Linked DNA regions of Oryctolagus cuniculus. The protein of the gene in region 1 purifies or fractionates together with the protein of each later gene. This does not show direct contact. Links are inferred from orthologs where the notes say so. Each region holds a gene or a part of one and is shown on either strand. Other genes may lie near its edges.

Region 1 (4,068 bases):
ATTAATTATTCACTCTGTTTTCAAAAGATATATAACTAAAAGTGTCTGTGATCATCCAGTGGTGATAATAATCTGGGCTTATTTTTACCTGGTTATTAAATAACAGGAAATACGGAGGCCAGTTCTGTGACATAGTGGGCTAAGCCTTCACCTGCAGCACTGGCATCCCTTGTGGGTGCCGGTTCACATTCTGGCTGCTCCTCTTCTGATCCAGTTCTATGATTATGGCCTGGAAGGCCAGCTCTCTGCTGTGGCCCAGGAGTGCAGTGGAGGATGGCCCAAGTGCTTGGGCCCTGCACCCACATGGGAGACCAGGATAAGCACCTGGCTCCTGCCTTTGGATCAGCGCGGTGCGCCGGCCGCGGCGGCGATTGGAGGGCGAACCGACGGCAAAAGGAAGACCTTTCTCTCTGTCTCTCTCTCTCACTGTCCACTCTGCCTGTCAAAAAAAAAAAAAAAAAAAAGGCCTGGGAAAGCAGTGGAAGATGGCCCAAGTGCTTGGGCCCCCACGCCCATATGGCAGATCTGGAGGAAGCTCCTGGCTCTTGGCTTTGGATCGGCCCAGCTGCAGCTGTTGCGGCCATTTGTGAAGTGAACCAGCAGGTGGAAGACCTTTCTCTCTGTCTCTCTCTGTCTGTAACTCTGTCTCTCAAATAAATAATCTTAATAATAGTAATAGGAAATATGGTTAATTCAAACAACTTGAAATCATGCCTCTCTAATTAATATATATTAAATCTGTTATGAAATGAAGAATAAGCTCTCTACAATTAGATGGCTAAACTTAAAACCCTCTTTGTTCCCCCAGCAATGACCCAGTCTATTCCAAATCACAGATCTGAGGAAATAACACTCAGGTTGGGACAGAGACTGTGCTGGGCATAGATAGATCATGGCGCTCACCTCATTATATTGGATTTTCCACTGTATTTGTTGGCCTTCCATGCATCTCTAAGGATCCTGTCCTTCCACGGCTGTATAACCAGAGCTCAGGGAGGAGCTAGCACAGAGAAGGTGCTTGGTAACTCTCTGGTTGGGGCTAGCTGTTTCTCTTCTCTCCTGTGTGCTGGATTAGTGCACAGCCACTTCCTACATCTGCTGCTCAGTTGCAGTGGGACCTGTCAGCTTAACCTTTCTAATTTCTCACCTCCAACTGGCATGGCATTTTGTGTGTGGTTTTAGCACTGCTTCAGGAAAGGCAAACTAACTGTCTGAAATACTTTCATCTCAGAGAGGGATTTATAATCATTTTGTTAAATGATATTTTGTTAAACGAGCATTTGTGCCATAAAGTGAAAGTAGAAAGACAGTTATTGAATAATGAAATTCACTTTCTTGTGGCAGTGGGCATTTAGCCTAGAAGATTAAGACACCTGTGTACCACATTCCAGTGCCTGGGTTCGATTCCCAGCTCCTGCTCCTGACTCCTGCGTTTCTGCCAAAGCAGCTGGCAGATTAAAGTAATTGTGTTCCTGCCACCACCGTGGGAGTCCTGGATTGAGTTCCTCTGGCTTTGACCCAGCCCAAACCATTGTGGGTGTCTGGGGAGTGAACCAGCAGATGGAAGTGCGCTCTCTCACTCTCACGCTCTCTCTCTCTCTCCCCCCCCCTTCCCTCTCTCTCTCCCCTCTCTCCCTCTCTTTCTCCCCACTCCCTTCCTCTTCCTCTGAAATTAAAAAATAAAAAATCCTTTTCTTGGGCGTCTACGGTAAAGCACGCGATCTCCATGGCTATCTTAGAGCAGCCCAAATGACCCTGGCTGATGTGTGGCCCAGACGGGAGCTCTAGGAAACTGAAAACTGGAATTGTCACTTGGGACAACCGCCTGCCCCAGTTTGGCTGTGCATACATTTCACATCTGTATTGTTATTTTAAAGACAGACGGAGCAAACCTCACGTTTCAAAAGTTACTTAAGGAAGTCTCACAATTAACAGAGCAGCCCTGTGACTCATTTTTGGAGACCCGTGTAGAAATAACAACTCCTCCCTTTGCTGAGAAACGGCTTCTGCACGGGCCGGCCTGCGCAGCGCGGGGAGAAGCGCGGCTCCTGGTGAGGGTCCTCTGGGCGCCGCCAGCCAGCGAATTCACTCCGGGGCAGCCTCTGCCTGCGTGCTCTGAGAAAGTCGCGAGCGCTTGCCAGGAACCGCCTCAGCGCTATCATTTGGTCCGCATTTCCTGGCTCCTGAGTCACGCTGTCAAGTTCAAGTCAAGAGGTCCTCATTCTGTTTTTGAGAAAGTGCACCCCACTAGGAAGTGAGCCGTTTTATCAGGCCGAAGTAATGCCCCCACTTTCACAAAAGTGGGGTGGGTGGATCCTTGCAGAAGGCAGACAACAGGTGTCTCTGAGAACAATGCCCACTAAATCCTCAGTCCCTCGCCTTGGAAAAACGAAATAAATAAGAACCAACAACAAGCCATTGCGCTCCGTACGAGAAACCCAGTGTGGCGTCCCTAAGGGCCAGGAAGCGAGGGGTGGACCAGGGCCAAACCCGAAAACCTGGGCCCAGCATCCTGTCGCCGGGCAAGTGAGCGTCCCCTCCCGCCCTCCTTGGGCCCACACTCCCAGCTCCCCGCGTTCGGGACAGAAAAGGAGACCCAGGCAGGAAGGAACGAACCTGGACCCGGGGCGACCGTGCGAGCTGAGAAGCCGCTCTCTTACCCGAGCGCCGGCTTCGCGCTGGGCGCCAGGACGCAGAGAAAACCTGTTGCGCGCCTCTCCGCGGCTCAGCTCTCGCCGCCTCCCACAGCCTCCGCTCCTCCCGCGCCAGAGGCTGGGCTCAGCCGCCGCCTCCCGAACTCCGAGCCGCCGAGGCCGCATCTGGGCGCCGCCGGCTCGGCCCCCGACACTTCGCAAGAGCCCACGGCTGGGATCGAGGCCCCGCCCCGGGACGACAGCGCGGAGGCGCCGCGTCCACCAGCTGCCCGCGCGCAGGTTCCCGCCCCGCCCGCTGCCGGTGCGCTCCGGGCTGCCCGGAACCTGGGGCTCGCGCGCGCCTGCGGTGCGCCGCCGGGCGCTCCCGTGAGGTCGGGGTAATTGGCCACCCGAAGCCATCATCTGTCCCCCGCCTTCCTCTGGGCCCCTGCGGGAAGCGCCGGACTTTCCCGGGGAAACCCCGCGGCTCTGGTGACATTTGCAGCAGGGTGCGTTTCCGTGGCGAGGACGCTTGAAGCGAATTCTGAGCGTGGGTGTGGCCGCCAGAGGACGGCTGAGACGAGGCTGCAGGTCACACGATGGCTGGGCACTGGCTTTCCAGAACCCACGCCGACCGGCACCCTTCAAACCTTTGCCAACGCCAGTTTGAGTTCATTCATTCACTGAGGAGCCAGAGACACGACCATGGCCAAAATATTGCCAAGCCTCTGACGTCTTTGTGGGAATAGGGAAGCAGATACAGTGCGTATGTATTGTGGAAGGCGGTGGGAAGAGCCTTGAAGACCGAGGCTGAGACTTAAAGGTAAGAATAGTGTTCATTAAACACACACACACACACACACAATAAATAAGGGCCAGCGCTGTGGCACAGCGGGTTAGCTGCCTGCAGCACCGGCATCCCATATGGATACTGGTTGGTGCTCCAGCTGCTCCACTTCCTATCCAGCTCCCTGCTAAGGCACCTGGGAAAGCAGCTGAAGATGGCACAAGTCCTTGAGTTCCTGCACCTACGTGGGAGACCCAGGTGAAGCTCTGGGCTCCTGACTTCAGACCGGCCCAGCTCTGGCCAGTGCAGCCATTTGGAGAGTGAACCAGCAGATGGAAGCTAGTGCGCTCGCTCGCGTGCTCTCTCTCTCTCTCTCTTCCTCCCCCTCTCAAATAAATGGAAGGAAGGAAGGAAGAAAGGAAGGGAGGGAGGGAGGGAGGGGAAAGGAAGAAAGGAAGGAAGGGAGGGACGGAGGAAGGGAGGGAAAGAAAGAGAGACACAAACAAACCAAACTCCCACAAAGATGGGAGAATGTAAAAAAAAAAAGAGAAGCAACCAAAGGCCAAAGCTTGAATGGTTTGAGCAAGAAATTAACAAACATCATTTAAAGATGGCACATTTCTGAGAATTGCCTTAATAGTTGATGTG
Region 2 (4,150 bases), on another chromosome or scaffold:
CCTCTCTCTGTAAATCTTTTTGTTTGTTTGTTTTTAAGATTTATTTTATTATTTATTTGAAAGGCAGAGTTACAGAGAGGCAGAGAGAGAAGTCTTCCATCCATTGGTTCACTCCCCAAGTGGCCTCAATGGCCGGGGCTGGGCTGAAGCCAGGAGCTTCTTCTGGGTCTCCCACATGGGTGCAGGATTTGGGCCAGTCTTCTATGCTCTGCCACAGCAGAGAGCTGGATCAGAAGTGGAGCAGCCGGGACTCAAATCAGCGCCCATATGGGATGCCAGGACTACAGGTGGCAGCTTTACCGGCTATGCCACAGCGCCGGCCTCTGTAAATGTATTTTTTTAAAAGATTGATTGATTTATTTGAAAGGCAGAGTCACAGAGAAGCAGAGGTAGAGAGAGAGACAGAGACAGAGAGGTCTTCTATCCATTGGTTCATTTCCCAAATTGCTGCAACATCTGGAGTTGGGCTCATCAGAAGCCAAGAGCCTGGAGCTTCTTCTGGGTCTCCCAAGTGGGTGCAGGGACCCAAAGACTTGAGCCATCTTCTACTGCTTTCCCAGGCCATAGCAGAGAGCTAAGAGTAGACGGGACACAAACCAGTGCCCACATGGGATGCTGGCACTGTAGGCAGCAGCTTTTACCACTACACAGTAAAATGAGCGGGCTGACTGAGCCACCTGTGTGCCTCAGAAAATGTCTCTGTGGGTCACCCCACCCCAACCCCAGTCATCAGACTCATTCCTTGGTCCCATACCAATCAATGGAGCAGAGCAGAATAGGAAATGGGGACCCAGCTCATGCCAATTCCTGAAATAGATGCAAAGGCAACAGAAACAGCAGAGCCTCGCCCCTCCCGTTCACCATGCCCTCCCTTGGTCCCAGGGTCTTCCCGTCTCACAGTGGCTTCCAGGTCCTCTGTCTTGTTGCGCAGCTGGTCCAGGTTTTCTCCTCGTGCCAGGATCCGCTCCACATTCTGGGTCATTATATTCTTGACTCCCTCCACCTCACTCTGCAGGTTCCGCACTCGGTCATCTCCGCCTCCGCTGGCCGCCTCCTGCGCACAGCACAGGGGCTAATTAGGCCAAGTGACAGAGGACCAGAGGGAGACCCAGCCACAGAGGCCAGGGCAGTGGAAGGCCTCAGGTGGACGTCAGCCTTTACAATGCTTGCATTGTTTACAAACTATCTTTTCCTGCTTTAATGCATCTGTAAGCCCCAGCAGGTGAGATCTGATGCTGGACACCATCACTCAAACTTTCGGGTTCCCAGGGCTCCTGGCAAGGAAGAAAGCAGCATGGCTAACTCCCTCTCGGCTGCTTCCTCCTCCTCATGGGGTCGCAGGCACTGCAGAGCTGGCATCTCACAATGTCCCCCTCCAGCGCAGACCCCCCGCGATTTACCAAGTCCTAGAGCCCTCCCTTGCTTCCTGGACCCCCCTGAGTCTTCATTAAACCTGTCAGTGCCAGCCAGCAGGACGCCCCACCTGGCCCAAGCCTGCTCCGGCTCCCGGACAGCTGCTGGAGGATTGCTTCGGCTCCGGGGCTTCCTGGACAGCCTGACCCTAGTTCCATGGCTATGACCCAGAGCCAACAAGTCCCTCACACGGCGCCATGATCCGCTGAGCACACACTTCTGCTTTCCCCACCTCTCAGCAGAGCCTGTGCAGATACTAAGTGAAAACAGGCACCTGGGCGCTGGGGGAAATGGAGGACAAGTGCTGCCCGCCTGCTGCCTGCCTCATCCTGCAGGGTTCATGATAAGGTTTTTGATCAAGGAGGGAAAACAGGCCTCCCAGCCTGGCCCTCGGGGGGGGGGGGGGGCAGAACCTTGCCAAGGGTGTGGGGCGAAGCTGGATTATCGCAGAGAACCAACTTATGGGTCTTTTACAGGCCCCCGGCTGCTTCCTTAGACGCGGTACAGAGGGATCCTTTGGGTTTCTGCATAGGGAGAAAGCGGGAGGCCCGGTGGGAGAACTCCCGCCGCCGCTGGCCTGGAATCTGAGCCGGGAACAGCAGAGGCGCTTGCTGTCCAGCGGTGTCACAACACCCAGTTTGTCCCTGCCAGGGGAGGCGGGGGCGGGGGGCGGCAGAAAGTGGCAGCAACTCTTTGCCTGGAATTCGGACGCCCCCCCAACCCCCACCGCGGCCCTGCTCGGGGCCAGCACGGAGGCCAGGGGAGGGAGGTAGTGGGGCAGGGACAGGAACACCGCCCAGGCGGCTCAGAAGTATTTGCGGCCAAGTTGTCAGAGAGGCCACAGACAGCGCCGGCCCCAGCCCTCTGACTTCACCACGCACCCTCCCCTCTCGGCAAGGCCAAGCCCCAGTCCCCAGCCCCCTTTAGAAAGCAGCCCCCGTCCGGATCGCTCACCATGTCTGCGAGTCGCTGGGGCCCGTCAGCGGCGGAGCTCACCCAGGCTGCTTCCTCCCGGGCAGCCCTCGCTCCACTTCCTGCTTGCTCCAACTTTCAGCCCGCCCCTGCCCACCTCCATCCCTGCGCTCGCGCCACACCTAACGCAGGTTTCCTCAGGTAGGCGGGCTCCCGCCCCCGCCCTCCCAGTCTCCACCCAACCAGGGCTTAAACTTAAAGCCACAAGGCTCCCCGGGAGGGCACCGAAGGTCTTGCCACTTGCCAGAAACGACAAAGCAAAGATCAAGCAACCTTCCTAGGTTTCCTGAGGCGGGACAGACTCCTTTTTATGTCTGGGATGTCTTAAGCACCCTGCGGGCCGAGATCACGTGAAAACAGGTGCAGAGGTGACAAGATCTTGCCGAAGCCCTTGTACTTAGGACTGCAAACACTGGGAAAAGTCTGGAATGCTGTCACCCCAGGCTCGGGTGTCAGAAAGCTCAGGGTTACCGGCTGCATGCTGCCTAGTGAACTTCCTCACCTCTTTCTGTATTGCAGGTGCAAAGGAGTAAAAGACAGCTCACACAATGTGCCTGACAGTGCCTTGAACAAAATAAGTAATCAGGAAATGATGGCCCACCAGCCCTTCCCCTTCCCTTCCCAATTGCCTTGCATGTGCCTTGGGAGGACAGTGTGTGTGTGTTTTGGGGGAGGTTGCTGACCCTATCAGTGGTCAGAGGACAGCCCAATGAACCAGACAGGGACGACCCAGGGCAAAGGATTTTTCCACCAACCTGGCCCTGGGCCAGAGAAAGGCCAGAAAAAAAATCCTCTCTTCCTGGATGGTGTTTATCAAGACACAAGAACAGTAACAGGGACCTGCAGAAGGGAACAAACATTCTTGCCTCTTCCCAGAAGAAATGGCAGTTCCAAAGAGGAAATATCAACTTCACCAACACATACTTTTAAAAAGAGAGAGAGATTTATCTGAAAGGCAGAACACCAAGAGAGGACAAGAAACAGAATAAGAGTGATCTTCCATCTGCAGGATCATTCTCCAAATAGCTGCAACAGCCAGGTCTGGGCCAGGCTGAAGCCAGGAGCCAGGCACTCCATCCAGGTCTCCCATGTGGCTGGCAGGGGCCCTGGTACTTGGGCCTTCCTCTGCTGCCTACCCGAACACGTTAACAGGAAGCTGGATATAAAGTGGAGCAGTCGGGACTCAAACCAGTGCTTTTAAAAAGTCTTTAATACATTTTGTCTTGAGACATCTTTTTTCTAACTTAAATACAATTTTGTCCCCAATTAGGTTGTAAGTTTATTAGATTATACAGACATGAATTTTAGTGGCCAGGACAAATAGCCTGGGAAACAAAGTGTGTACCAGCCTGCTTTGGCAAAGAAACATGGCTGCCTCACCCTTCTCAGGTTGCCACAAGGCCAGGTGGAGGAGGAGTGGAATTCTTAGTCTCTACTTGTGTCATCCAGACCAGTTGCCATTAACCACTTGGGCTGTTGAGTACTTGAAATGTGGCCAGTCTGAACTGAGATGTGTTGTAAATGTAAAATACACACCAGAGTTCAAAGACGTAGTATGAAAAGAAGAATGGAAATATCGCATTCATAATTTCATATGTTGATGGCATGTTAGAATAATGTCTCGGGGGGTGAGTATTATGGCGCAGTTTTTAAACCACAGCTCAGGACACCTGCATCCCATATCGGAGTGCCAGTTTGAGTCCCGGCTACTCCACTTCCCATCCAACTTCCAGCTACTGCCTGGGAGGCAGCACATGAAGGCCCA

What was found. Proteins that work in one complex are often made in the same cells at the same time.
Region 2: the proteins of STX11 (region 1) and VAMP8 purify together in Homo sapiens (co-immunoprecipitation; 3 studies listed by BioGRID and IntAct, counting the BioPlex papers as one, with this or other methods). This does not show direct contact. The link is inferred for Oryctolagus cuniculus from reciprocal best matches to the Homo sapiens genes STX11 and VAMP8.

What each region holds. Positions count from the first base shown.
Region 1 is NC_091436.1:24,388,029-24,392,096, forward strand, and holds the start of STX11 (syntaxin-11), read right to left. Parts: upstream 2,801-4,068; 5' UTR 2,661-2,800; exon of another isoform or gene 2,617-2,660; intron 1-2,616. UniProt on the Homo sapiens protein: SNARE that acts to regulate protein transport between late endosomes and the trans-Golgi network.
Region 2 is NC_091433.1:117,071,445-117,075,594, forward strand, and holds the start of VAMP8 (vesicle-associated membrane protein 8), read right to left. Parts: upstream 2,806-4,150; 5' UTR 2,371-2,805; coding exon 2,368-2,370; intron 1,055-2,367; coding exon 899-1,054; intron 1-898. UniProt on the Homo sapiens protein: SNAREs, soluble N-ethylmaleimide-sensitive factor-attachment protein receptors, are essential proteins for fusion of cellular membranes.